Rattus norvegicus: one gene and its partners. The protein of the gene in region 4 purifies or fractionates together with the protein of the main gene of each other region. This does not show direct contact. Links are inferred from orthologs where the notes say so. Each region holds a gene or a part of one and is shown on either strand. Other genes may lie near its edges.

Region 1 (3,500 bases), on a different chromosome or scaffold from region 4:
TTTAAAAGTATATATGTATGTATAGTACTTGAAAATATTAAAACATTTTAAAATGTTAAACAACTGACAAATTTTTAAAAGCTACATTATTATTTTAAAGAGCTTTATTCTAGTCAAGTAATTTTTTCAGGGTTGTTTTATAGAGAGCTTTCTACTTAGCTTCAAAAATAAGTTTGTTTACTTAATTTTTTAAAAATTTTTATTAGATATATTTCTTTACTTACATTTCAAATGTTAGTCCCCTTCCAGGTTCCCTGTCCATAAGCCTCCTCCCCCTCCCCCATATGCATATTCCCCCGATACATCCCCCTTATTGCCCTCCCCATATTCCCCTGCATGTTTACTTAATTTTTATAAGTAGCTTACATCCAATGTGATAGTCCATTAGAATACTTAATTAAAGAAGCCAATTCATACAGATGCTAATGCTGGTATTTTAGACACATTTATCTCAAAGTCATCTGTATTGATAGGGAATTAGAAATTAACTGAATTCTCAAATGTTTGAGAAATTAAAAGATGAAAAGAAATGATATGATACCTTGTTATTGGTAGGTTTTCCTGAGGCTTTTGAGTTTTTAGTAAGTCACAACTGTGCTAAAAAAAAAAAAAGAAAAAACTCACCTTGGAGTGACCTGGTAGGAATGTAACCTGGTAGGAATGTGTCACATGGTTAGCTTTACATAGCCTTGCCATCTGTATGGAGACTAGCTTTCTAATTAAATAATCTGGCTAAATAGCTAACTACAAATGACTGATAAGTGATTTGTATGCGCAATAGTTACATATGATGATACCTAAGGTCTATAACTATAAACATTTGAGGTTCATGTTCATAAAATTTTATGTTAAATATCTTCCTTTTAGATTATTGATAAAAGCAAGAGAGACCCAACAGAAGAAATTGAAATTCTTCTTCGTTACGGACAGCATCCAAACATCATTACCCTAAAAGATGTAAGTAGATTATTTAACAAACTCAAATTTGAGGTATTTTTCAATATTTAATATTCTGAATTAGACAGAGACTACTTTGGAATAATCATCCTAGAAAGTAAGTTAGAATGGATGAATGTGGAAATGATTATCTTAAGCAAAGTTTCCAAGACTTTGACCTAGACTTATTTTATTTTAGTGTGTGTGTGTGTGTGTGTGTGTGTGTGTGTGTGTATACAAATAAGACATATAGGTCATGAAACTAGAAAGGTGACCATGAAAGGTGATAAAGATATCTTAAGGGAAGTTTGAGAAGACAACATGAGATCATAAGAGTAGGAAGGAGGGAACCAGCAGGACAGACACAGATTAGAGGGGAATGTAGTGGAAGAAAAGGATTGATTTTAAAAAACAAAAGAGTATGTATGAAAATCCCATGATGAAACTCAATACTTTGTATACTAACATATATATGTACATACACACATACATGTATATGTATAATATACATATATGTGTGTAGATATATGTATAATATATCTACACACACACACACACACACACACATATATATATATATATATATGTATGTATGTATGTATGGTAGATTAAGAACAATATTGTAGGACCTAGGGAGACAGCTCAGTGGTTAAGAGCACTTGTTGCTCTTCCACAGGACCCAAGTCCATTTCCTAGAACCCAGTTCAGGTGGCTTACAACCAATCATCTGTGACTCTAGCTCCAGGGGATCTGATGATTCTGGTCACTACAGACACTAACACTCACATTTACATGCATGTGTGCACATGCACAGAGATAAAAATAAATCTTAAAAATTAATAAAAACAAAACCTTAAAATATGTAATTAATTTTCTAGTTTTGCTCTAAAACCTAGTTTAATATTATTGTTTATAGTATGTGAATTTGAACATAGAAAATGTTAATGTTAATCAAGATTGATTCACTTCTCTGAAGGCTCCCAAACTGTCTTCCCACCTGCCTTCCTCTACAGCAGTTCTCCATATTTCATTACACACGTTCTGGCCATGCTTTATTTGGAATGAAGACTTTTTAAAGCATGCATGCCTTATTTTCTTCAAGTGCTCTTTGAGTGTGTGGATCCTTAAGAGGGAATATCATGGGTTGGGGATTTAGCTCAGCGGTAGGCAAGCGCAAGGCCCTGGGTTCGGTCCCCAGCTCTGGAAAAAAAAAGAAAAAAAAAGAGGGAATATCATTTCCCTTCTTTGCCTGGTTGACTACCAAAGCTAAGATTTCCCTATGGGCTACTTCCTCCCAAGAAGCCTTTCTTGACCATTACCACCTCCAGGGCTCTCCAGATACCTATGTCTCCCATAGCTTTTATTATAACTGAGTATTAACAAAAAAATATCCACTTCCCAGGTAAGTAGTCAGCTCTTTCTTGCTGCTGGTGCTCACATAGGCTCAAAGTCTATTTAGCTAGGGTCAAAACGATTTTCTCAGACTAATTTTTCTTAGATAAAGAATGCCGACTTAGTCACATTAAATATGAAACTATTTACTATAAATGACTTTTTAACCAGAAATCCTGCACTGGTTTTTCACAAGTAAAGTTTTCTTGAATGTACAATTTTTATCTTTCTTTTAATATATTCACTCACCTTTAGTATGTTTAAGTAGTAATTTATGGACATACAAAGCTTCAAATATTTTTTGTTTTGATGTTAAATTTTATAGGTGTATGATGATGGAAAATACGTATACGTAGTAACAGAACTTATGAAAGGAGGTGAATTGCTGGATAAAATTCTTAGACAGAAGTTTTTCTCAGAGCGAGAGGCCAGTGCTGTCCTGTTTACTATAACCAAAACTGTTGAGTATCTTCACACACAAGGGGTAAGTGTTTTATATGCACATATTTGTATGTACATCCTTTTATGTTAATACCCAAACTAAAATTAGAAATTCAAAAATAATAGAAAAACCGTAATGAGCTTCATTATCCTACTGTTCTTCCTTTACACAAATCTTTTTCATTGAATCTGAGGTACTTTAAACTCTTAGCATGCTTATATTCAGCTGTTATGCTTTCCAGGAAAAAGTTAATGAGATCTGCAGATCTGTAAATCATAGCACTCTGTATCCTCGGAAACTAGGCCCACTTCTAATGAAGCAGAAAGGGAGAATGCTGATGTGTGTCTATGTGCACAAGTGAATGGTCTCCTTGTTTCCTCCTGCATATGTATTTTAGTACGTGGAAAAAACACTTATATTTTCAAAAGAATGCAGTCTGTGGAAGAAAGGGAGAAAGGAAAAAAATAAAAATGATGTAAGATGAAGGAGTATCAGGGGGAGTTTTGCTTATTTTTTAACACTTTTTAATTGAGAGAAATACATTTGCGGTATATATCAAAGATTTTTAAACACTTGCATCTCTGTTCTTGGATGTGTGTGCACATGCATATGGATCATAGAGGACAACATCAGTGTCATCCTCAGGAACACTATCTATCTTTCTTGGACCAGGGTCTCTCATTGGCCTGAACCTCACCAATTAATGCTAAATCCACAGCTGATGAGCCCC
Region 2 (3,989 bases), on a different chromosome or scaffold from region 4:
ACCTGATAAAAGAACAACACCTATTTATTCAATAAACATGTTACTTACTATTTAGTACTTATATTTAAAATTAATAACACACAACATTTTCTCTCAAAACATTAAAATAACAATAAAAATCAAGAACTCAATAAGAAACATTTCTTAAAAAATTCTCTCATTACTGTACATTTGGAAGTGTATGGTATTTTCGAGTAAATTACACACACGAACTAGTATATGACACTTATGATGCAGGAAATCTAAACCTGTTAGCAAAGAAGAGCCCTTAAGCCAGACATCAATGACTAAAGGTTGTGACAGGAAACCAGATTATCCTAAAAATTAAATTACTAATTTAACCTAAGCACATTTTACATTACATTATATTTAGGCTTCTTAAAAGTATTTTTATGTAAAATATAAAACCCAGGTTAAGAGACAAACATACAAATGTATGACTTGATAAATTAAGACCAGCTCCTCCAAGACCCAAGGACAGAGAACTTTCCTACTGCTGTAGAAGTCTGGCCTTATCACAGCTGCTTCCTTCCCTCCCTATCTTTGTTTTTATGCAAATCACTTCCTTGTAGGTTTTTTTTTACAATAATAATTTGATCATTTAAATTTGCATTCCTAGACATCAGAGCCTAGCACTGTGCTTCAAAAAAAAAAAATTAGTACAGTTTCTTTCCTAAACAATAGTACTAAGACTAATAAATGATGCCCACATTGAAGTGCCTCACTGAATTGGAAGCTAAATACATTTTTTAAAAAATTACCCACAGTAAATGCTATTTACTGTTAGAATTATGCAAATTTGAACTTCAAATAAACAGGGATTAGTAGTATTTCCCTTGTACTGGGTCCCTGCTCTTTTAGCATATTCTTTTATTTACATATGCAATGAAATAAAATTTTATTTGCAGAGACAGTGCTTTTTTGAGAATTTCCTGAACTAAAAACAATGTCTGACTATATATTAATATTATTCTTTGGTCATAAGACAAATTTCACACCTATCCCAAGAAGACAGGTCAAGGCTGTAATTTCACTTTCAGTTGAACAGAAAGGAGTCAATTTTGTGGTTTGTGAAGTCAGCAAAACCTAGCTACAAAATTAAAGGTATGATAACATTACCATAGTTTTATGGTAAAGTACACATTTTAAGAGTTCTATCTTTTATCCTAGAAACATGGAATATAAATAGTCTTGTATTTAAGTTTCAATCAAAAGCAAACTCTCTCTCCCTCACCAAATTTAGGACCCACTGAAATGTCAACCAGCATTTACATTTTCACTGAGGTTTTGCTGGTATTCAAAAATAAGATATAGCTAAATGCTGACATAGCAAGAAGAAGAGAAAAAAATTCCTGAGGAACAACTTTCCTACAGTTGTGTTCTCTCTCATACGTGATGCATTTAAGAACTTTGGCTTTTAATTTAACATCCCCTATCCTCCCACTCAAAATGTTTCCAGTCCACAACCATTGTGCTGGTTAATAGAGGTAGCATGCATTCAGCCTTAAATGGAGTCACATATGCACACTTAGTGACATTTTCATTAGTATGTAATTTAAATTTAGATTAAATTTAAACACAGGATGTTTAAACACTTTCAATTGTCAAGATACTTTTAGTATAGTAATTTTACATAATGCACGAATATACTAAACCACAATATCCTGTGAAATCACTAATGTAAAAAACACAGCTGTGGAACACACGAGAGAGGTACTACGTTATGTTTCAACTGCAGACTTTTCCTTTATTTATTTCGATAACTGTCATTAGTCATTCCACTGCTGTTTCAATCACTTATGCAAAGAATAACCACATCAAAACTACGCTGTACCCCCATTCACTACAGCAATCCCTATGCTAGAAACGATATTCCCACTTTCTTAAAACAACTCTTTCCCAAGCCCAATAGAGCAAAAGCTGGAAGCAATTATCAGGAAGCAAAAAACGCTCAAACAAAATTTTCGTTAACAGAGGAGGACAGAGAGCCGAACCCAAGGGAAGGCGGAGTGGCTTGACACCTTAAAAGTGGCCACTGATTGTAACATGTCCCAACACCCTCAAAACCAAACAAAGGAAAACTTTATAAACACGTCGTGGTTTTCAATCAAACCAAGCACAACTCGCCGCTCACTCTCTCGCCTCCCGCGTTCCACTCCTCGCTCCGGACAGTTGCTGCGGGCGTCCGGCGACACAGACCTCCAGCCGCTAGGACGATAAGGGGCCGCTCCCCTACCTCAGGGTCGCGAGTGACTCCACGCCCTTCAGGACTCAGGGTGCAGCGGCGGCACCACAGAGGCTGGATCACTGCACGGACTCCCGCAGGATCGGGAAGTACTGGACAAGGGCGGGGACCGAGGCACTGGGCAAGCAGGTAGTGAGCCCAGGAGACACGCCCGCCCGCCGGCCGGACCGGGGGAGGGGAGAAGTTTCTCCTCAACTTCCAGACTCCCCGCCCGGCAGGCGGACAGAGCCGGGAGCGGCGGCGCCTCGAAAAGCCGGGGAGCAGGAGGGCGGATGCCGAGGCCTAGAGCAGCCCGGCCAGGGTCAGTCGCCTACGTTGCGAGGCCACGCCGCGAGCTTACCTGGGTCCGGCCGCACTCGCACGGGTCGCCTCGGGGAGAAGGCGGCCGGCCGAGGCGGACGCCCGCGGGGCCCTCTCCCTTCTCCACCTCCTGCTTGCGGGGCGCCGGGAGGCAGCGACGGCCGCACAGCCGGCCCGGGACGCGTTACTTGAGGAGGAGGGAATTCCCGGGCGCCCGCACCCCACGGCCTCCCTCTCTCCTCCTCTCGCCGCCGGCCCCGCCCCTCCGCTCCCGACTGGGGCGGCCGCGCGCCGGGCAGGGGTTGCGGCTACCTGCGCGCGCCCGCTCACCGGAACTCGCGCCCTGCTGCTTGCTTGGAGCGCCTTCCGGCGCGGGAGCTCTGCGCGGGGTCCGCGGGCGGCTGGGAGGCCTGTCAGTGTCACGCCTGCCGGCCCAACATGGCGGCGGGGGCTGGGCGGGCTCCTGAGGGGGCGTGAGGAGAAAGCAGTCTGTGGTTCCCTGCCTGCCCGCGCGCGGACTACCTCTACGAGCGAAGCAGGGCTCCGCCTGGCTCACGGAAACACCGAAGAGTGTGGGGCTTTGTTTTGGGAGGGTGGTCGGGGTTGGGGCTCTTTGGAGAGAGGTTGACTGTTCGTTTCTCAACGTTGTGTCTCCGCACCCTTTGTCACTAATAGTAAAATCTCAGTCCAACCGCGAGAGCCACCGGGGCGGTGCTGACACCTTGGTCGCGGTCCAAAAACGTTCTCGTTTGGCCTTTCCTTAGCTGGGATCCTGTCCCTGCCCCAGAAGCTTCCTGTTGACTGTAGGTCGAACCAGCCTTGCCGGGAGTGGAACCGAAGCTGAGTTGTGTTGGCAACTCTCCCAGGAATGGTGGCTTTCACTTAGCGTGGGACAGCATTTTATTTGATCCTAGTAATAGGGAACCCGAACAGGCACTGTGACTCTGCTTGAGGGCAATGGAAACTGAGGTTAGGGCCCCCCAAAGTGAAGAAGTCACAATGAAAGGGTTTTCTCTTCCTCAGGAGGCCTTGCATCTTTTTCTACTTGCCTTGTAGAAAAAGTAAGGGTTCAGGAGGAACTGGGGTAAAGATGAAAGTCAAGGTCAAGAGACTAAATCTAGATGTATTTCTGCTAAAGGCACATCTGCCTTATCACACTCTTAATTTCCCTTTTGTATTTCCTCTTTGATGGGGTTATTCGAAGTATTAATGTGGGACTCTTGGTTTCCTTTGTGGTTTTCAGCGAAGTTCAGCATCATCTTTGGCATATTCTAAATAGCACCATCGACTCTGTCAGTATTCTGGTATTCTAGGAACTTAAATGCACACAGTTTTAAAAAGTTTCTTCAAAGAAAGGGATGGGAATCCACATGAGCACCTACGTGTGATGTAGAATGGTGATTTATTTTGCCATTGACTGAGACATTACGTTTTATATATAAAC
Region 3 (3,500 bases), on a different chromosome or scaffold from region 4:
CTCAGTACCTACCGCCAATGTCTTTCCAGAGCCAGTCTGTGCAATGCCAACCATATCCCTGCCGCTAAGAGCCAAAGGAAATCCCTGGCACTGAATGGGAGTTGGTTCTGTAAAGTGCTGATCCATCAGCACATCCATTACATATTCTGTAAGAAAGGAAACACATTACCACCTTTACTAATAAAACTAAGGATGCATATCAAGTCCTTAAAAAGTAGCAGTTACCGATGGTAGGACTGACTTTTATTATTCTCCAAAAACTTTAAATCCAATCTCTGGCCAGCCCAACATTACCCAACACTATCCTAACACACCCAATGGCAGCAGCTCATGGCTCATTTACTGTTCCCAAAGTCCCTACAATATCGCAGAAGCGACGTTCTGCTCCATTATAAAACACGGGCAGAACACTAGTGGAAGTTTCAGCACCAAAAACAAAGCAGAGGCTGAGGAGACGATTCAGCTGTTAAGGGTGCTTGCTGTTCTTGCAGAGAACCCAAGTTTGGTTTCTAGGATCCAGGTAAGACTAACAAGTGCCTGTAATTCCAACTTTAGACATTCTGGTGCCTTCTTCTGGACTCCCCAGGAACCTCACTCCATACAAATAATCTTTCAAAACACAAAAATTTGCACAATATGTTTATCAATAGTAGTAACTAATCTCTGTTCTAAAAAAATAGAAACACAGAAAATTACTATTCAAAGCCAGGTGCGTTGGCACATGACTTTAATCCCAGCACTCGGGATGCAGAGGCAGGTAGATCTTTGAGCTCCAGGCCAGCCTGATCTATAGTGAAGCTTTATCTTAAAAAATAAAAACTTTTAAAATTTTATTTTGGGTGTGTGCCAGCGTGGATCTGTGTCCTCCTTTCATGTTTATTTGGTTTCCAAATTTGAACCCAGGCAGTCTGTACCGGCTGATTTTGTGTGTCAATTTGACACAAGCTGGAGTTATTACAGAGAAAGGAGCCTCAGTTGTGGAAATGCCTTCATGAGACCCAGCTGTAAGGTATTTTCTCAATTAGTGATCAATGGGGGAGGACCCAGCCCATTGTGGGTGGTGCCCTCCCTGATTTGTAGTCCTGAGTTCTATAAGAAAGCAAGCTGAGCAAAAGCCAGTAAGTAACATCCCTGCGTGGCCTCTGCATCAGCTCCTGCTTCCTGCCCTGCCTGAGTTCCCATCCTGACTTCCTTTGGTGATGAACAGCAAATGGAAATGTAAGCTGAATAAAAACCCTTTCCTCCCCAATTTGCTTCTTGGTCATGATGTTTGTGCAGGAATAGAAACCCTGACTAAGACACAGTCCACACTCTCTCACCCACCTGATTGGCCCCATCTAAATTACTCTTTTCCTTCTTTTATTTTGAGACTCTGTGTAGCCCTAGCTGTCCTGGAACTCAGAAACCTGCCTGCCTCTGCCTCCCGAGTGCTGGGGATCTAAGGTGTGCACTGCTACCACCACCTGGCCACTATCTTTTCTATATAAAAGGTTTCTACTTATCTTCTAGACAAAATCCTGAAACTTTCAAAACCTTTAAGTACCCTCTGTAATGCAGGATTAAAAACCACTTACGCGGAAAGTTTGCATGATGGAAGGCAAAGACCGGTTTTGGACAAACATCTCCCCCTCTCACTGTAATCTCCTTCTTTCGACGTAGCTCATCAACCTCATACTGTGGGGAAGAAAAATGAAGACAATAATAAAAGCTCTCAATTTAGAAACTTTTTTTTTTTTGTTCTTTTTTTTTTCGGAGCTGGGGACCAAACCCAGGGCCTTGCACTTCCTAGGTAAGCGCTCTACCACTGAGCTAAATCCCCAGCCCCAATTTAGAAACTTATCACAATGACATATGCTAAGGCTTTTTACATGAATCCAAGTCTGTGACGCACATGACTAGGAGGAGAAAACCCTCAAGAGTAGTCCCTAGCCAGGCCAGTGGTGCTTTGTCTTCTCTGTACAGCAACTCAAGCTCACACCTAACTTGATCTACAAAACAAGTTCCAGACCAGCCAGGGTTACACAGTGAGACAGTCTACAACAAACACAACTTGGGGCCCAAACTCTCTTTCCATTATATAATTTTTTCTGGATAAGCTATCTTCTGGGTAGAACACACCATTAGGAGGTTAAAAGCACACAAATATACAATGTTAAACTAATTTTACAAGTATGTAGCTTAATGGTAGCTTTTGATTTGCAACTCCAGTAAACCTGGAACTTGCTATGTAGCCCAGGCTGGCCTCAGACTCAGAGATCCAGCTGCATCTGCCTTCCGAGTATGAGGACTAAAGTCACATGCATATGGTGCTAGGTTTGAGCGTAGCACCATTAAAGAATATCAGCTCAGTGGTTGATTACCTGTCTTCATGGACAAAGCTCAGAGTTTGACCAAGAAAAAAAGATCACAGGCTGTGGTTTCCCATGCCTAGAACCCTGGCAGTCCAGGAGATACAGTAACAGGACAGCAAGTTAAAGACTAGCCTGGAACTACATAGTGAGACCATTCTACAAATAGAATGATTTTATCACATAAAAACTAAAACACAAAGGCAAGGCATGGTGACATAATTCTTTAGTCCTTGTATCACTTGGAAGGCAGATGCAGGTGGATCTGAGTCTGAGGCCAGCCTGGGCTACATAGCAAGTTCCAGATTTACTGGGGTCACAAATCAAAATCCTGTCTAAACAACAACAACCTACTTAAAAACATTAAAAGAAACTTGATGGGGCACATGCCTTTAACCTCACTTGGGAAGCAGAGCCAGGTGGATCTCTGAGCTTGAGGCCAGCCTGGTCTACAGGCTGAGTTCCAGGATATCAAAGGACTACACAGAGAAATCCTGTCTCAGAAAACAAATAAAATACCCACACACAAAAACAAATTAAAGATGACATAATATAAAATCAGATATAAACACTTGGATTATTAACCTCTATTTAAACATTCACTCATGCCCCCCTTTTCTTACCGGAGTCAGTCTTGCTACTTCTGGATGTTCGACATAAAAATTCTTCTCAAACTTGGGGAGTTCACTCAAATCCCACTTCTTTTTTCGTAACCGCTCCCCAGGATTACCAAACTTCTTCGGGGGAAGCCCACTACCACCTCTTGCTCCAAACCTAGAGACACCAGAAAATGTAGATTCATTAGTACCCATCTCAGACTTCTTGCACTGATTCAGTTTTCCACCCACAAACACTGACAAAATTACTTATACCAACTTGATACTAAGTGTAGTTTTTAAATGGCACCAGAGATTCTAGACAGAATAAAAACGAATGGTCTCTGCTCTTGTAGGGAACTGGTACTCTTTTAAACTGCAAGAGCAGTTTAAACTGTGGACAGGGAGAAAAACAGTCTTCACGTAAGTCCTTCAAATTTACAACAGCTTCTTGGCCAATTTCCCCACTGATGCTGGGGCCAGAACTTCTCTGCTAATCTATAAAGGCAAACTAGTTGGGACACTAGGTCCAGTGTTTAGTTTACTCTAAAGAACC
Region 4 (3,500 bases):
AAGGCTTGGCCTTTGTCTCCTGTATTCAGTGCCCATTCTACAAGCTTGTGGGCCCATCTGCTAATGGCCAGTCTCCTGGCTCAGCTCACAAGCACTGGCAGGTACCACATCTTCAGTGTACTCCAACAAGGTCTTAGAGACACCCCAGTTCTCAACTGTTCTACACTGCCCTGCTCTCAGCATCCCCATTCCTTCAGAGGAACCAAGTTCGGTACCCATTATCCACATGACAGCTTGCAAACACCAGTAACTCCAGCTCCAGGGATCTAACACCCTCTTCTAGCCTCTGAAGATACTTGCATGTACATGGTGCAAATAAACTCACTCAGGCACACACACAGCAACCAAAAATTAAATATTTATCTATTAAAAAAAAAAAAAAAAAAGGTTGGGGATTTAGCTCAGTGGTAGAGCGCTTGCCTAGCAGGCGCAAGGCCCTGGGTTCGGTCCCCATCTCCGAAAAAAGAAAAAGAAAAAAAAATGAGGCTAAAAAATTAAAAAATTAAACATTGAGGGGTTGGGGATTTAGCTCAGTGGTAGAGCGCTTGCCTAGGAAGCGCAAGGCCCTGAGTTTGGTCCCCAGCTCCGAAAAAAAAGAACCCAAAAAAAATTAAACATTGAATTATATAATGTTTTGCAATAATTTACATTATAATATATAATAAAATTACTTAAATATTAAAAGTAAATAAATAGAAATCCTCAAATAGGGTCAGCAAGGTGGTTCAGTGGGTGAAAGTGCTTTGCTTGTAAGCCTAACAGCTTGTCTGAGCACAGGAACCCACATAAAGGTAAAGAGAATCAACCACACAATGCTGTCCCCTGATCATATGGGTCCACATATACATCATACATACATACACATATATGTAAGAGACATACGTCCACATATATATATACCACACATATACACACATCATAGATCCATACAATTCTTATAGATTTGAGAAAAAACAAATATGGCTACATTTGGCCACTGTTATCCCCAGACCACCTCAAGTGCTGCTCATAAAGACTGACCTCGGGTCCCTAGTCACACACACTGTAGACCTGGTGGTACAGGAATCATTACCTTGATCTTGGTGAAAAACTGCCGGAAGCAGGCCCGGGGGTCGACCTTCAGACTCTTGGCCAACTCCAGGATGAACTGCATGACCATGGTCTGGTGAGCCACCTGCTCCATCAGGGCACACTTCTGCAGGACAGAGAGGCAGGGTGTCGGTCAGCCGGCGCCAGGGTCGGGGAGTCTGCGCAGCCGGGCAAGGCTGTACTTACCTCCTCGACTTCCAGGTCAATGCACCAGATAACCAGGTAGTTGGCTGTCTCCTCGCACACCAGGTGGACATTGTCTGACAGGTACTTCTGGCTGTCATCCCAGCGGTGGAGCATGCCTGCAGGGAAGGATGTTGGGAAGAAGACGTTGCAGAGGCTGTTGGAAGCCTTCCCTGGCCTTGACTCCTAATGGAGCCTTTGTGCAGCTTACCGAAATGTTTGATCTGTTTCTCGTATTTTTCAACGAAGGTCTTGTGTTTCTGCTCCCTTGCCTCCTCTGAGTCTTCCTCTGCCTTCTCAGGCTTGGTATTGACCATGCTCTGTGACAGGGCGAGAGGGCAAGTGGGCTGGGGCAAGGCAGGGGTGCGCCTGGGGTTTGGGGGCCGTGGCCGCCGCGCCCATCCTGTCCACATCGGAGGCGGTGGCGTCGCTAAGTGCATCAAGGTGGCGGAGGCATGGCCGCGGGCCTTCGGGCAGATCAGAGGGTACGGATGGGCTTCGTTGGCCTCCACTAGCCAATCCCAAGCTCAAATTGTCTGACTGTCTGTCTGACCGTCCGTCCATCCCCTGCCCTCACACCCCTCCCCATGCTTTGCCTGGCTCTCAATGTCAGAATTCTTTTCCTGGTTTACTGGGATGGGGAGACAGGGGTGGACCTAGGGTCTTTACAGGCATGTCTAGCCTCCACCACCCAACTACCCCAGTCAGTCTGACCGTACTCCATAGCGCTCTTGCCGGTGTCCCACCTTGCTGAAGCCATCTTTGCTGAGTGTGTCCACATTCCAGGGCATGTTCTTCTCCTTTTTGCGCATGTCCTCCAGCTTCTGCTCCCAGCTTCGCTCCTCCTTGCGCAGCTGCTGTGCCTCCGCTCGAAGCCGCTCAAGCTCCACCTGGCCACCACCCTCAGCCACTTCCAGTTCCTTCAGCTTGCGCTGGCACTCGGCTACCTTGCGCTTGCATTCCCGGCAGCCCCGGTCCAGTTCTTCTTTCTCCTTCTGAAACTGTTCCATGCGTTCCACCCGGGCCTGCAGGCAGGGACAGTTAGCAGCCGGTCACTTAGAAAGACTTTAGGAGGGGTTGGGGGTTTAGCTCAGGGGTAGAGCGCTTGCCTAGCAAGCGCAAGGCCCTGGGTTCAGTCCCCAGCTCCGAAAAAAAGAAAAAAGAAGAAAAAGGAGAAAAAAAAAAAAAAAAGAAAGACTTTAGGAGCTGGGCATGGTGGTGCTCACCCTTAGTCCCAGCACTTGGGAGGCAGAGTTGGCCTCGAGTTCGAGGCCAGCCTGATTTACAATGTGAGTTCTAGGAAAAGGGATGACAGAGAAACTTTGGGTTGGGGGAGGGGAAGAACAACTTTGTTCCTTCGTATTGGCCCAGCAATGGCCCCAGGCTTCAATCTCTGTACTGGACTTGACCCCAGGAGATGCATGTACTGATGTCCAACCCCTGGCCTCCAAACTGCTACCCTGCTACTACAGGGACCAGACACACCTGGGTCAGGTTACACCCATGGTCCTTACTGCAGTACAAACTGCCATGTGCTGCCTCCCTGCTGGTGCTCTGCTGCCACGTTTCTGTATTTTTTTTAAAATGATTTATTTATTTTATGTATGTCAGATCCCATTTCAGATGGTTGTGAGCCACCATGTGGGTGCTGGGAATTGAACTCAGGACCTCTGGAAGAGCAGTCAGTGCTCTTAACCACTGAGCCATGTCTCCAGTCCCCACGTTTCTGTATTTTTAAGACTAGATTTAACTAAGGAAACTGTCTCTATGTAGCAGAGAAGGAACCTGAACTCCTGATCCTTCTGCCTCTCAAGTGCAGGTCCAAGATAGGGCAACAGTAACTGACTGTGTGATGGGAGCAACTAAGCAACAGACACCTTGTTCACTTTAATTTTGGAAACAAACGCACAACAATAAAACCCAGCCACATGCGAAGGTCAGAGGACCATGGGCAGCAGTTCCACCGCGTGTGCACTAGGGATTGAACTTAGGTTGTCAGGCTTGGTGGCAAGTGCCTTTACCCACTAAGCCATCTTGCTGGCCCCTGCTTACCATCCTGAAACATCTTGGGTTGCTTCGCCAGCACTACAAGCAAAACCAAAGAAAGCCCTAAGTGGTCACGGTGGAGCACCCCGGTAACCAAGCATTCTGGGAGGCTGAGGCAGGAAGACTGAGTCTGTACCAAGCCAGCCTAGGCAACTCAGCGAAACCTGTCTTGAAATAAAATC
Region 5 (4,135 bases), on a different chromosome or scaffold from region 4:
AGCACCAGGGTCACACCGCTTCTCCTCCTGGCCACCAATTCTATCAACAGCTGGGGACATGGGGACTCAGGGGCTTCCCATGAGGATGGAAGGAGCGCTGGCCACTGAAGGAGGTACTGAGGAGGCCCCTCCCCAGGTGCCAGTCCAGAGAAAGGAGAGCAGGCTCCATTCTGGGCTTACTACTTGGCAGTCACGTGACCTCTGACAAGGGCCTTCATGACTCTGAGCCTCAGTTTCCTCGTTCACAAACTAGAGCAGCCCCTCCCCCGTCACTGCTGCCCCCAAGACCAGTGATAACAAGATGGAGGGGTATGAATGAGAGTGGCCAGAACAGCACATGGCACCTGCTTGCAGGGAGGGCAGCCCTACCCTGGATCTTGAGGGGTGAATAGGAGTTCACCAGGTGGATACAGGAGAAGAAATATTTCAGGCAAACGGAGTAGCATGCACAAGGATCAGGAGGTATGAGCACCGAGACACGCATAGGGAAATGGAAAACCCACCTCTTTAGCCAGGACTTGGGAGCACTCTCTGACGGATCCTCTCTACCCTCCAGAACAGCTCAGATCAAAGTCCCCAAGCCTTACCTGCTCCAGGGAGAGGTCCTCAGCCCAGCACAGACCATCAGCTGCCCCCCTCCCAGGGAGACTGCCCACCCTTACCTGCAGTAGCTTACTGTCCTTCCTTGGATGGGCAGTCCGATAGAGACAGCCCCCTCTCTCAGGGTCATCTTGCAGGGACCCCAGACTGCTCCTACCCACCCCTGGCCTAGTCTGGGGTAACCCATTCCCCACCACACTGCCTCCCTCCCTGGCCTCCAGAATACACTGGGTCCTGCAAGTAGCTGGCACCCAGTCATGGAATCACACACCAGAAGAGGGAGGAAGAGAGCTAACGGGAAGGTGTGGGGAGAAAATGGAGGGTCGGATCAAACAGGTGGGATGCAGGATAAGCTAAAAGGACAGGGAGAGAGCTGGAGACACACAGGGGTAGTGGAGGAAGCACATGCAGAGAGCAGTCCCCAGCCTCAGCGAAGCATCCCCCTCTACCTGGCCTCGGTACACACCTGACATCCACCTTCCTCCTAAGGGCCAGCGAGAGAGAAGCAGAGAGAAGGAGAGGCTGAGGTGCGAAGACAGGACCCAGGACAAGGGAGGAGACTAGTCGGGGTCTAGGGAGGACCACCACCCACCAACTGCAGAAGCAGCCCTGTAGGCTCTGCACCGCCCTCTGCCGGCAGCTCTGGGTATAGATGGACCCACGCTCCCAGTGCAGTCCCCGTCCATCCACTCACGTGTTATTGACAATCTGCAGCCGCTCCCCTTTCTTGAAGGACAGGTCAGTCTCTGTCCGTGACTCATAGTCATAGAGGGCCACAAAGGTAGTCACCCCACCTGCAGAGTGGGATGGGAGGTGTCAGAACCCTGCAGGGGGTGGGCGTGGGAGGCTGCCTTTCTCACTCACCAGCCTGTCCCTGAGAGGGAGCTAAGTAGCCTGTGCCTCCCTGCCGGGCTGCAGACTAGGTGCTCCTTATCTGATATGTCTACTGACACAAGCAGAAGCCCCAGAGAACAGGTTCCCTTGCTCTGCACTCAGACCCAGCACACAATAGGTGCCCTAAGCCCCGCCTATATGTGTGCCTGGCAACTTAAGGCTTTGGTGCAAAGCTTCAGGACTCTTCTCCTGATTCTCCCCTCACCCACGGCTGCTCCTTGGACTCCTGCAGCCCACCCTCCGTTGCCCAAGGCTCCACAAACGCCTCTCAAATGGTCGAATGGGTGTGTGGCTGCATGGCAGGGAGTGGGCAGCCTGTCCAAGGGTCTGTGGTGGGATGTGGGGCTGGGAACCTTAGCCCATGTCTGCTTTCTGCGTGCAAGCAGGCGCACAGGCCCACCTGAGGGGGCGAGGTTGTATGCACACCTGTGTCTGTGTGTGCTCCGCACTGCAGGCGTCTAGCCTAGGTGTGTCTCTAGGAACACTGGGGGCCTTTTGTTGTTGTTGTCGTCTCCACTCAGTGCGAGGACATGCCCAATGTGGGCACATAGCATGGCTGAGTCTGGGTGGGATCTGAACGAGTGGGTGTGCAGCCGTGCGTGTGGCTGAGTCCGAGTGCGGGATTTGCACGCACGGGTGTGCAGCCGTGAGTATGGCTCCGTCAGAGCGTGGGATTTGCTCGTGTGGGTGTAGCCATGTATGCAGGAGCATGAGTCACCCTGCTCAGCCCCTGGGCGGCAGGGTTGCCGCACCACGCAGCGCCAGCAGAGGGCGCAGGGGCGCACTCGGGCCACCACACAACAGAGCCAGGAACAAAGGCTGGGCGGGAGGTGGCAGCTAGTCCATGGTGGTCCTTCTCCTCCGGGTCTCGGGGTCCCCTACAACCCTCTCCTTCGGAACCCGTTATACTCTGAATCTGGCATCCCCAAAGCGGCAGGAGCCCCGCTTTCCAGTTTACGAGCCCTTCTCCATTCGCAGCCTCTGGAAAACCAAGTCCCCAGAACCCAGAAAGGGTGCACCACAGCTCTGGGACACTCAGCAAGGAGGAGGGCCTACCTGCCAGAGGCCCCGCCCTTTGTGGGGAGGTGACAGTGTCCGAGGAGTTGAAGCCTCCGAAGAGCTTGGGCTCGGCGGCCGCGGGGGGCACAAAGGCGGCATTGGGCCCGCGGTGGCCATCGGCGGAGGCAGGCTTGCTTGGTGTCTGTGAGGCAGGGAAGGCGCCACCTGCCCCATGCACGTTCTCCGCGGGCTCCAGGCTGCGGCGCCTCTGGCTGGCGTCCTTGGGCTTGCTCTTGTTGCTGCCCATGGTCCTGGCTGGGGGCGACAGAAATCCCCCAGGTAGAGGAGAGATCTGGGAACAGACAAGACACCCTACCCACTAAACAGATAGGCAGACTAAGGTCCTGAGAAGGGGACCCTGCCACCCTGGGAGAGTTCGTCTCACAGTTTCACCTGTAAAATGAGATGTTGGCGCCTTAGGACACAGCTACAGATAGAAGACATATATACCAGTCCAAAGCCCTGGGTCCAGCAGGACCCAAAGTCAGCTTTAGTCTTTCATAGGCAGGGACACGAGTCATATCTGTGTCCCCAGCACATAGGAGGGACTCATTTAAGTTTTGCTGAATGAATACATGTCTGACAAGTTGTCTAACACTGGGGGAAAGGTGTTAAAAGTGTTAATTGAAGCAGCAGTATAGTGGCTTGAAGAGGAGATGGCCAGGCCTTCCAGCCACAAGACCTTTGCAAATTCCCTGACAACTTCCCCTCCTGTGATGGTTTGTATATGCTTGGCCCAGGGATCAGCACTATTAGAAAGTGTGGCCCTGTTGGAGTAGGTGTGTTACTGTGGGTGTGGGCTATAAGACCCTCATCCTAGGTGCCTGGAAGCCAGTATTCCGCCAGCAGCCTTCAGATGAAGATGTAGAACTCTCAGTTTCTCCTGCACCATGCCTATCTAGATGCTGCCATGTTCCCACCTTGATGATAATGGACTGAACCTGTGAATATGTAAGCCGGCTCCGATTAAATGATTAAATGTTGTCCTTATGAGAGTTGCTTTGGTTGTGGTGTCTGTTCACAGCAGTATAACCCTTACTAAGACATCTCCCCAATCAGTTTACTTCAACTCTCAGCTCAAAGTCACTTCCTGGGTTGGGGAGATGGCTCAGCAGGTAAAGGCACCTATCATAAACCCTGCTGACCTCAGTTCAGTCCCCAGAACCCACATGGTGGAGAGAGAGATGGGAGAAAGGGTCCTGCAAGCTGTCCTCTGACGTCTGACCTTCACACATTCGTGGTTCACATACATGCCTTCCCATAAGCGCACAGAAGAAAGGAAGAAGGGAGAGAGGGAGGGAGGGAGGGAGGGAAGGAGGGAGGGAGGGAGGGAAGGAAGAGCAAGCAACAAAAATGTTTCAAGTCATATCCTTTAGAAGGGGGTCTCCAAATCCTTTCAGGAGCCCCCAGACTACTGTACCAGCCTTGGCTATATGTAACCCCCTCTCCTTTTAATTCCTGGTGCGCACAGAGTGAGGTACACAGCAGGTGCTTAATAAACAACCAAATGAAAGATGAAAGGGAGAGAAAGTTTGAGAGGTCCTGAGACCTCGACACAGAGGGACCAAGCAGAAGGCTTCAT
Region 6 (3,500 bases), on a different chromosome or scaffold from region 4:
CCTCGCACTGATCTCCACAATGACCACGCTAGTTGACATTCCCAACAAAATGTATGCTTCTTTCTCCACTTCCTCCCAGCTTCAGCTCTCAAGTCTGTCTTCTGAAAAGCAGATGTGTTCCCAGTGGTCTAACTGATATCATCAGAGGTGTTGAACGTCTTTCATAAATGTCTGTTACTGTTTACATTTCTTCTTTTAAGAAAAAGCTACTGAAGTCCTGCTGCTATGAACGGGGGTGGGGGGGTTAATGGGGTCACACCCCTGGACAAGACACTACAGGCAATGGATAATGGCTCTTCCCATGGAGGAGCCCTGCAAATGGCTGTCCAGTACAAGTGGCTCCCAAACTATATGCACATAAACAAAAAAGTCTTAGCGGGCTATATTTATATGTTTATGCATACACAAACGTGTGTGTGTGTGTGTGTGTGTGTGTGTGTGTGTGTGAAAGGCTCTCACTATGAGAATGGGAACATCTGCCGAGTTCTGTAAGATTCAGTGTAATGTACGTCCATTCTCGCTTATCTTACATTTCTCATCTGCTGCCTTTAGTGGCAGTTTCCTCGGGAAATGTTCCATTCCCATGCATTAACACTGCTTCCAGGGTCTTCCTGTGTTGGGCTCCAGCTTCACAGAGATCGGAAAGGGGCCTTCATCTTTCTTGTTGTTGTTGTTGTTGTTGTTTAATTCTTAAAAGACACTGTTTTGTGACATAATCTGTCCTGGAAAAAGCTCAGTGCACGGCAGTTGAGTGGATGGCTTAGTCGGTGGTCGCTGGACGAATGCTCTATAACGTCTCCACCCCATGTGTCCAGGATATGGGTCAACTCCGCTGCTCCTCTGCTAGCTTTTCTGGTTAGATTCTGATCTAGTCAGGGATGAATGTTCAGTGTTGGATTCTGCTATTGTTACGTTCCGTCCTTCCTTTATGATTTATTAGTACCTTTTTAATATATTCAACTAACTGCTAATTTCACATATCAAATATTACTTCTGTGTTGTTGCTGGCTCATATGTTTAGTTCTAACATAATACTCAGTAAGCATATTCTGAATGAATGAATGAATGAATGAACAAGAGAATAAACAATGCCATTATATAAAGATTTCCACCAAAATTTTATTTTAAAATATGCTTTTATCTTTAATTCATCACTGCCCATTAATCTAAGTTTCATGGCTCAATCAGTCAACCCTAAGTTCACACTTGTATGTATACAAGTTTCTAAGTCACTAAAATCCTATAGGCTTTGCTTATTGTGGTTGTGGTTAATCTTTCTGTAGGTACCTAGTATTAGCCTTGTGCCTTGACATAAACTAAAGCTGTGGACAGGCATTTTTCAGATGTGAGCAATTTCAAATAATGGACTGAAAAATAACAAATGCAGGCAACAATTCATTTGCCAAAAGCACTGACACTATAAATTTCTCAGTAAGTAAAGGGGAAAATGTCTAAATTACTATTCATCTATTTAGTGCCTAATAATGCCAGTGTACTATGGAGAGGCTTGGCAATGCTGAGGCCTATGAGAGTGCTCAGTGGGTGGGGCCTATGAGAAGGCTCAGTGGGTGGGGCCTATGAGATGGCTCAGTGGGTGGGGCCTATGAGAGGGCTCAGTGGGTGGGGCCTATGAGTGGGCTCAGTGGGTGGGGCCTATGAGAGGGCTCAGTGGGTGGGGCCTATGAGAGGGCTCAGTGGGTGGGGCCTATGAGAGGGCTCAGTGGGTGGGGCCTATGAGAGGGCTCAGTGGGTGGGGCCTATGAGAGGGCTCAGTGGGTGGGGCCTATGAGAGGGCTCAGTGGGTGGGGCCTATGAGAGGGCTCAGTGGGTGGGGCCTATGAGAGGGCTCAGTGGGTGGGGCCTATGAGAGGGCTCAGTGGGTGGGGCCTATGAGAGGGCTCAGTGGGTGGGGCCTATGAGAGGGCTCAGTGGGTGGGGCCTATGAGAGGGCTCAGTGGGTGGGGCCTATGAGAGGGCTCAGTGGGTGGGGCCTATGAGAGGGCTCAGTGGGTGAGTATGCTTACTGCTTGCTGCAAAAGCCTGGCAGACTGGGTCTGACTCCCCAGAGCCAAAGAGTTAGAGAGAAGTGACTCTGGTGAGCTGTCATGTGACCTGCACGCATGTGAAAAGCAGCACTGCCCTGTCCCCACACATCACAAACGCACACAATGATCATAAGTAAGTCATTAAGTAACTTAAATTTTTAAAACTTCCAAAAGTATTAGCTTTGGAATAAATAATGTGAATATACTGTTTATATTTATCATTTTCTATTTACTGCTTATTAAAGTCAACAGATATTAAAGAAAAATAGAAAAAACAGTAATAGTAAATCATAAATAAATTAAGTCCTCTTGAATTGAAGACTTTCCTTAATGCTACTCAACAAAATAGATTATAGTTTGAAACTAGTTAAAGAGGTACACAGCTCATAACCTTAAATTTTACTACTGGAAAGAAAATACAGGGTATTTCCCTTACTTTTGTTTTTAACTTAAAATACTTTAGTACTCAAATTCAACGTTTTAGAGATTTCCATTTAAATTTAACTTTATTAACTTTTTAATGATATTTTCTCAGTAAGATCAATATTTCAGTCAGTTTCAGAGCATTATGTCTATGGAGTTACTGCAGAGTTAATGTTAAACTTAAGAGTGTGGAAAGCAATTCTCATAAGCCATCCACCAGTATATTTCAAGTCTACCACAATGGATTACGTCAATGTATACGTATGAACTAGACTGGACACGTACATCAACAAACTGTATGATAAAGTGCCTCCTTTGTCCGTCAGAATATACAGAAAGGACATATTCACCAGGTTTCCCATGGCTCTCTCGCACCAGGAAGTCTCCCTGCTGCTTCAGCAGTTCTTGTGCCTCTATCCTGGGGATGGCACCGTGGTACCAGTCATGCTCCGCCAGGGGCTTCTCACCCACAGAGATCACGTCAGAGAGCTGCTAAACAAATATTTAAACAAAAGTTATAAAAAAACATATTTTTCCTAGTAAAATTCTTTGCAAGTACTTTGTATATATGTTCTGCCTTTATCAGTCAATTAAAAATTAAATGATAATTCTGACATTTTCATAATTATTTTTAACAAATGTTTCCTGGAGTATGAGGACTGAAGTTTAGCACAAGTAACTATCCTTTGATACTTTCTTTCTATCATGCACAGGGACATTAGCATTTCAGGTCAACAGTCCTAATCTTATTCCCATTATCATAAAATAAATTTATTTAATAATATTGACCAATCAGAAAAATTATGAAAGAATATTTCCAAGTAATTTCTAACAAACACACTGAACATGGTTTGCATTGACTTGATTAACAGACTGTGCTCCATGCATAACAACAGGTAGGAAAGGGTCTCGGGCTCAGCCCGAAGCCACCTCACTGAGCTCCTCATGCCCACTCCTCTACTGTACCTCTGTTAGCCATTACTCTGCCACATGGCCACTCATGGCTTTGCAAAGCAATGGCAGATAAAGCCC
Region 7 (3,500 bases), on a different chromosome or scaffold from region 4:
GAGCTCACTAAAGCAGGGATGGTGAATGACCATTGGTAGTTTCTAGGGATCCCTGGTACAAACGCCAGAAAGCCCAGGCTGCAGGAAATGAATGAACATGGGAGCTGCAGCACAGCAGAGGGAGCCAAGTCTAGATATTGTCTCCTCAGGTACAGCCTAACTGCTGGTAGCTATGGGATAGTCTTGTGGGTGAACTCCCTAAAGAGCTGGTGAGTCAGGGTGATGGTGGTGGCCTCAGGGGACTACAAATGGGTTGTGACAAGATTCAACACTGACACTGTGGCAGGGAAACATGCTCCTCAGTCAGTTCACCACAGAGGAAAGAGGACAAGCATCCAAAGGACTGGCTGGCTAAATGAGGGGAGATGTCAGGCACGGTGACTCAGCTCTGTAAGCCCAGCACTTGGAAAGCTGAGGCAGGAGGACCATCATGAGTTTGAGGCCAGCCTAGACTAGATCCTTTATGTCTCTGTCCTGATACACAGAAACCCTGGACTTGCACACCTGAGAAAATCTAAGGATCCACCTGCCATCTGGAAGATGGGGTAGACACAGCTCTTGTTAGGAGAGAAAGATGCCACAGCGATCCCACTACTGTTTCTTCTTCCCCATCTTAGTTCCCCTTCTCCCCTTCTAACTGTGAAGTGTTGTCACAGATTACTGGAACCTGGGGAAGTCTTAAGCATAGCACTATAAACATTATACTCGAATTCTTCAGGACCTGACGGGGGCAGCTGATGTCCACAGCTCATCAGGCAAAAACAAGCGCGAGAGTGAATAAAAAGGCCACCTCATCCATAAGACATGGTGGGGAAATAGAACCAACACGTTTGGCACCACGCACCCTGAGTCTAACCAGAAGGGAATGGGCCAGGACAAGGCACCTGTTAGAATGTGACAAAGGAAAAATCCTGACACCCTGAGTTTAGTCATAAGTCACCCTGTTATGATTAAGATTGGGGGGAGGGGGACTGTTATGGAGGGGGAGGACTGGGATGTAGAGAGAGGACTGGGATGTAGAGAGAGGACTGGCATGGAGGGAGAGGGCCAAGGAAGACAGCAGTTGTAGGTGACACCTACATTCTCAGATGCCCTCTGAGACCTTGTCTTTACCAACCAAGTGTAGCAGGGATAAGCGTGTAGGGGTATAGAGTCAGGCCTACTCACTCATGCTTTCGATGTCCAGAGAGTCCACGACAGAGCGTCTGTGCTCGTCGCCTGCAATGGCCCTCTCAAAGGCCTTCTGCTTCACAATCTTGCTGCACTCCTGGTACTTCATCTTGGCATCCTTGTCATTAGGCTTCACCTTCACCACCTGGACGGGAAGAGGGAGGGAGGGAGGGAGGGAGGGAACAGGTGTCACTCTCTGGACAGCCAGCCACCTATCCCAGAGGAGCCACCAGGGGCACTGTGATGTCGTTGGCCTATACCCCCCTGGGCTGAGTCAGACCACCCAGGGGCTACCACATCTAGCAGGGCAACCCTGGGCCTGTGTCACCCACGACTCAGTTTTTACATCCCCACCAAGCATAGAAGAGCTGCCCCACAGGGTGGCTTTAGAGACAGGGCTTCAGCTCAAGCAGGTGCTCTTACTAAACACCTCTGGCCCTGTTACAGCCAACCAGGTGTCCAGCTGAACACACAGGTCTCAGGTTCCCAGTGCAGCTGGTGGGTGAGGCCAGAGTCTTAGAACAGCCTGGATTCTTTGCACCTTAGTGTCCCGGTCTGTGAAGTGGAGTCTGTGGAAGGACTTAGGACTTGGCATATAAGAGGGACTCTGTAGGTGGCAGTCAGCAGCTTGCTTTCCCTGGGGCTTTTTGGGAGACTGGGGCTCTAATTTTCCTGTTTCCTCTGGTAATGGGGATAGAAGATACAGCTCAAGTCCCAGCTTAGCCAGTGATGATGGGGCTGCCTGGATTATCTCAGCTGGTCTCAGTTTCTCCTCTAGGAAGGGACACTGGCAGCAGTCGCCCTGGAGAGCTGGAAGAGTAAATCAGGGAATACTTTTAAAATATCCAATGGTCAGCTGTGGGCCACAGTAATTAAAGGAGCCCTGCCTGCTTCCCACAAGCCCAAATGAATCCCAAGAGCTCAGAAGACAGAGCTGAGCCTGGTGGTGCATGTCTGCAATGTCAGCACTTGGGAGATGGAAGCAGGACTGGGAACCCCAGGCTAGTCTGGGCTATGGAGTGGGACCCTGGGCAGCAGGCTTCCCTGCACCTCTGCTTGGTTACCATAACTGTAACTGGACCTGCCTGATGTTCTGTTGTTTAACAGATTCCTCTGAGATTGAAACATTTCATCCTACAGGGAAGGTATTTAAGCAGAGAGGTGAACAACTCAAAATAGCTTTCAGGAAGGCCCTGAAACTGACTGGATTCACTAAGCCTTTCCCTGCCAGAGAAAACAATGAAGACTGCAAAGAATAGCCAAGCTACAGAGAAGACAAGACCAAACCAGCTGCCTAGAAGAAACAGAGACTAGTTGAGGTGCCTGGAAGATGTTTAGACCAACTGAGTCACTAGGAGAGGATAGTCGCCAACATGCTGAGCTGCCTGTATGCTGTGCAGTGTACTCTAGGCTCCCACTTTGTGAGCTGTCACCCGTGTTAGAGTGGGCTTTGGTGATATGACTTGACTTTGAGTCATTTCTGCTCCTATACACGTAACCCCTTACCTATACTCCTGTAAGTAACCCCAATAAAACCCAGTGCTTTACCATGTTGACTCTGGTGGTATCTGAATTTTGGTCTGTTGTGAGTTCCCTATATGACATGTGTGTTGCACCCCTGCCCCTTTGTCATTCATCTGCTGACCTACACAGCCACCCTTAGATTGGGTTCCCCACAGCTTCCATGCTGTTAGACAGAGGACTCCTAGGGCTGGTCCTCAGAATGGTGCCCTCCCCCCAAAGCTAGGTGACTGAGTGAGTCAGAGCCTGGGCAAAGACAACCGCTACTCCCTGCAGGTGCTTGGCCAGCAGCAGGCTAGGCAAGCCTAGCTGGGCCACCTGCCAGGCAGCTCTACTGGGGTGTGGGTGTGGAATCAAGCTTGAGGGCTGCCAGCTTTAGGCAGCCCCTGGAGCCCTTCCCAGGGAGAGGCAGGGAGGCCAGGCTCTCTGCTTCCCAGGATAAAGTCCACATGGCTCCAGGTCTGGCCCTCAAGGCCCGCCCTATCTTTTTCTGTAGCCTGGTACTGCCTCTCACAGGTCCCCAGGATGCCAGCTCTCCTGTAGCTGAGGCCTTTTGGTCATGCTGCCTTTGCCCACACATTTCACTTTTAAATCTAAGCTCCTTTCTGCTCCTCTCCCCCAGGAAGCCCAAGGCCAGGGACAGAGCTGGGTCCTCAGCAGAGAATGCCTCCTTAAGGAAGAATGGGGAGCCAGCAATTCCTAGGAGATGGATGTGTCTCCAGGTAGACTGCAAACGAAGGAGAAAGATGGAGCAGGGAGCTGCCACCATGGTGAGTGACCCCTACTCCCTGGAACCTCTGTGCAGTTCT

The links.
Region 1: the proteins of Cdc37 (region 4) and Rps6ka3 purify together in Homo sapiens (affinity purification with mass spectrometry; 3 studies listed by BioGRID and IntAct, with this or other methods). This does not show direct contact. The link is inferred for Rattus norvegicus from reciprocal best matches to the Homo sapiens genes CDC37 and RPS6KA3.
Region 2: the proteins of Cdc37 (region 4) and Yes1 purify together in Homo sapiens (affinity purification with mass spectrometry; 3 studies listed by BioGRID and IntAct, counting the BioPlex papers as one, with this or other methods). This does not show direct contact. The link is inferred for Rattus norvegicus from reciprocal best matches to the Homo sapiens genes CDC37 and YES1.
Region 3: the proteins of Cdc37 (region 4) and Ddx17 purify together in Homo sapiens (affinity purification with mass spectrometry; 3 studies listed by BioGRID and IntAct, with this or other methods). This does not show direct contact. The link is inferred for Rattus norvegicus from reciprocal best matches to the Homo sapiens genes CDC37 and DDX17.
Region 5: the proteins of Cdc37 (region 4) and Src purify together in Homo sapiens (affinity purification with mass spectrometry; 3 studies listed by BioGRID and IntAct, with this or other methods). This does not show direct contact. The link is inferred for Rattus norvegicus from reciprocal best matches to the Homo sapiens genes CDC37 and SRC.
Region 6: the proteins of Cdc37 (region 4) and Fer purify together in Homo sapiens (affinity purification with mass spectrometry; 3 studies listed by BioGRID and IntAct, with this or other methods). This does not show direct contact. The link is inferred for Rattus norvegicus from reciprocal best matches to the Homo sapiens genes CDC37 and FER.
Region 7: the proteins of Cdc37 (region 4) and Ppp5c purify together in Homo sapiens (affinity purification with mass spectrometry; 4 studies listed by BioGRID and IntAct, with this or other methods). This does not show direct contact. The link is inferred for Rattus norvegicus from reciprocal best matches to the Homo sapiens genes CDC37 and PPP5C.

Annotation. Positions count from the first base shown.
Region 1 is NC_086039.1:39,348,185-39,351,684, reverse strand, and holds part of Rps6ka3 (ribosomal protein S6 kinase alpha-3), read left to right. Parts: intron 1-867; coding exon 868-957; intron 958-2,653; coding exon 2,654-2,812; intron 2,813-3,500. UniProt on the Homo sapiens protein: Serine/threonine-protein kinase that acts downstream of ERK (MAPK1/ERK2 and MAPK3/ERK1) signaling and mediates mitogenic and stress-induced activation of the transcription factors CREB1, ETV1/ER81 and NR4A1/NUR77, regulates translation through RPS6 and EIF4B phosphorylation, and mediates cellular proliferation, survival, and differentiation by modulating mTOR signaling and repressing pro-apoptotic function of BAD and DAPK1.
Region 2 is NC_086027.1:120,645,671-120,649,659, reverse strand, and holds the start of Yes1 (tyrosine-protein kinase Yes), read right to left. Parts: upstream 2,801-3,989; 5' UTR 2,586-2,800; exon of another isoform or gene 2,135-2,585; intron 1-2,134. UniProt on the Homo sapiens protein: Non-receptor protein tyrosine kinase that is involved in the regulation of cell growth and survival, apoptosis, cell-cell adhesion, cytoskeleton remodeling, and differentiation.
Region 3 is NC_086025.1:112,983,248-112,986,747, forward strand, and holds part of Ddx17 (probable ATP-dependent RNA helicase DDX17), read right to left. Parts: intron 3,123-3,500; coding exon 2,972-3,122; intron 1,675-2,971; coding exon 1,575-1,674; intron 147-1,574; coding exon 13-146; intron 1-12. UniProt on the Homo sapiens protein: As an RNA helicase, unwinds RNA and alters RNA structures through ATP binding and hydrolysis.
Region 4 is NC_086026.1:27,956,931-27,960,430, forward strand, and holds part of Cdc37 (hsp90 co-chaperone Cdc37), read right to left. Parts: intron 2,298-3,500; coding exon 2,019-2,297; intron 1,740-2,018; coding exon of another isoform or gene 1,593-1,739; coding exon 1,484-1,592; intron 1,392-1,483; coding exon 1,276-1,391; intron 1,196-1,275; coding exon 1,073-1,195; intron 1-1,072. UniProt on the Homo sapiens protein: Co-chaperone that binds to numerous kinases and promotes their interaction with the Hsp90 complex, resulting in stabilization and promotion of their activity. Inhibits HSP90AA1 ATPase activity.
Region 5 is NC_086021.1:166,543,353-166,547,487, reverse strand, and holds the start of Src (proto-oncogene tyrosine-protein kinase Src), read right to left. Parts: upstream 2,801-4,135; coding exon 2,551-2,800; intron 1,395-2,550; coding exon 1,295-1,394; intron 1,085-1,294; coding exon 1,067-1,084; intron 1-1,066. UniProt on the Homo sapiens protein: Non-receptor protein tyrosine kinase which is activated following engagement of many different classes of cellular receptors including immune response receptors, integrins and other adhesion receptors, receptor protein tyrosine kinases, G protein-coupled receptors as well as cytokine receptors.
Region 6 is NC_086027.1:111,103,463-111,106,962, reverse strand, and holds part of Fer (tyrosine-protein kinase Fer), read right to left. Parts: intron 2,961-3,500; coding exon 2,754-2,960; intron 1-2,753. UniProt on the Homo sapiens protein: Tyrosine-protein kinase that acts downstream of cell surface receptors for growth factors and plays a role in the regulation of the actin cytoskeleton, microtubule assembly, lamellipodia formation, cell adhesion, cell migration and chemotaxis.
Region 7 is NC_086019.1:86,829,006-86,832,505, forward strand, and holds part of Ppp5c (serine/threonine-protein phosphatase 5), read right to left. Parts: intron 1,316-3,500; coding exon 1,168-1,315; intron 1-1,167. UniProt on the Homo sapiens protein: Serine/threonine-protein phosphatase that dephosphorylates a myriad of proteins involved in different signaling pathways including the kinases CSNK1E, ASK1/MAP3K5, PRKDC and RAF1, the nuclear receptors NR3C1, PPARG, ESR1 and ESR2, SMAD proteins and TAU/MAPT.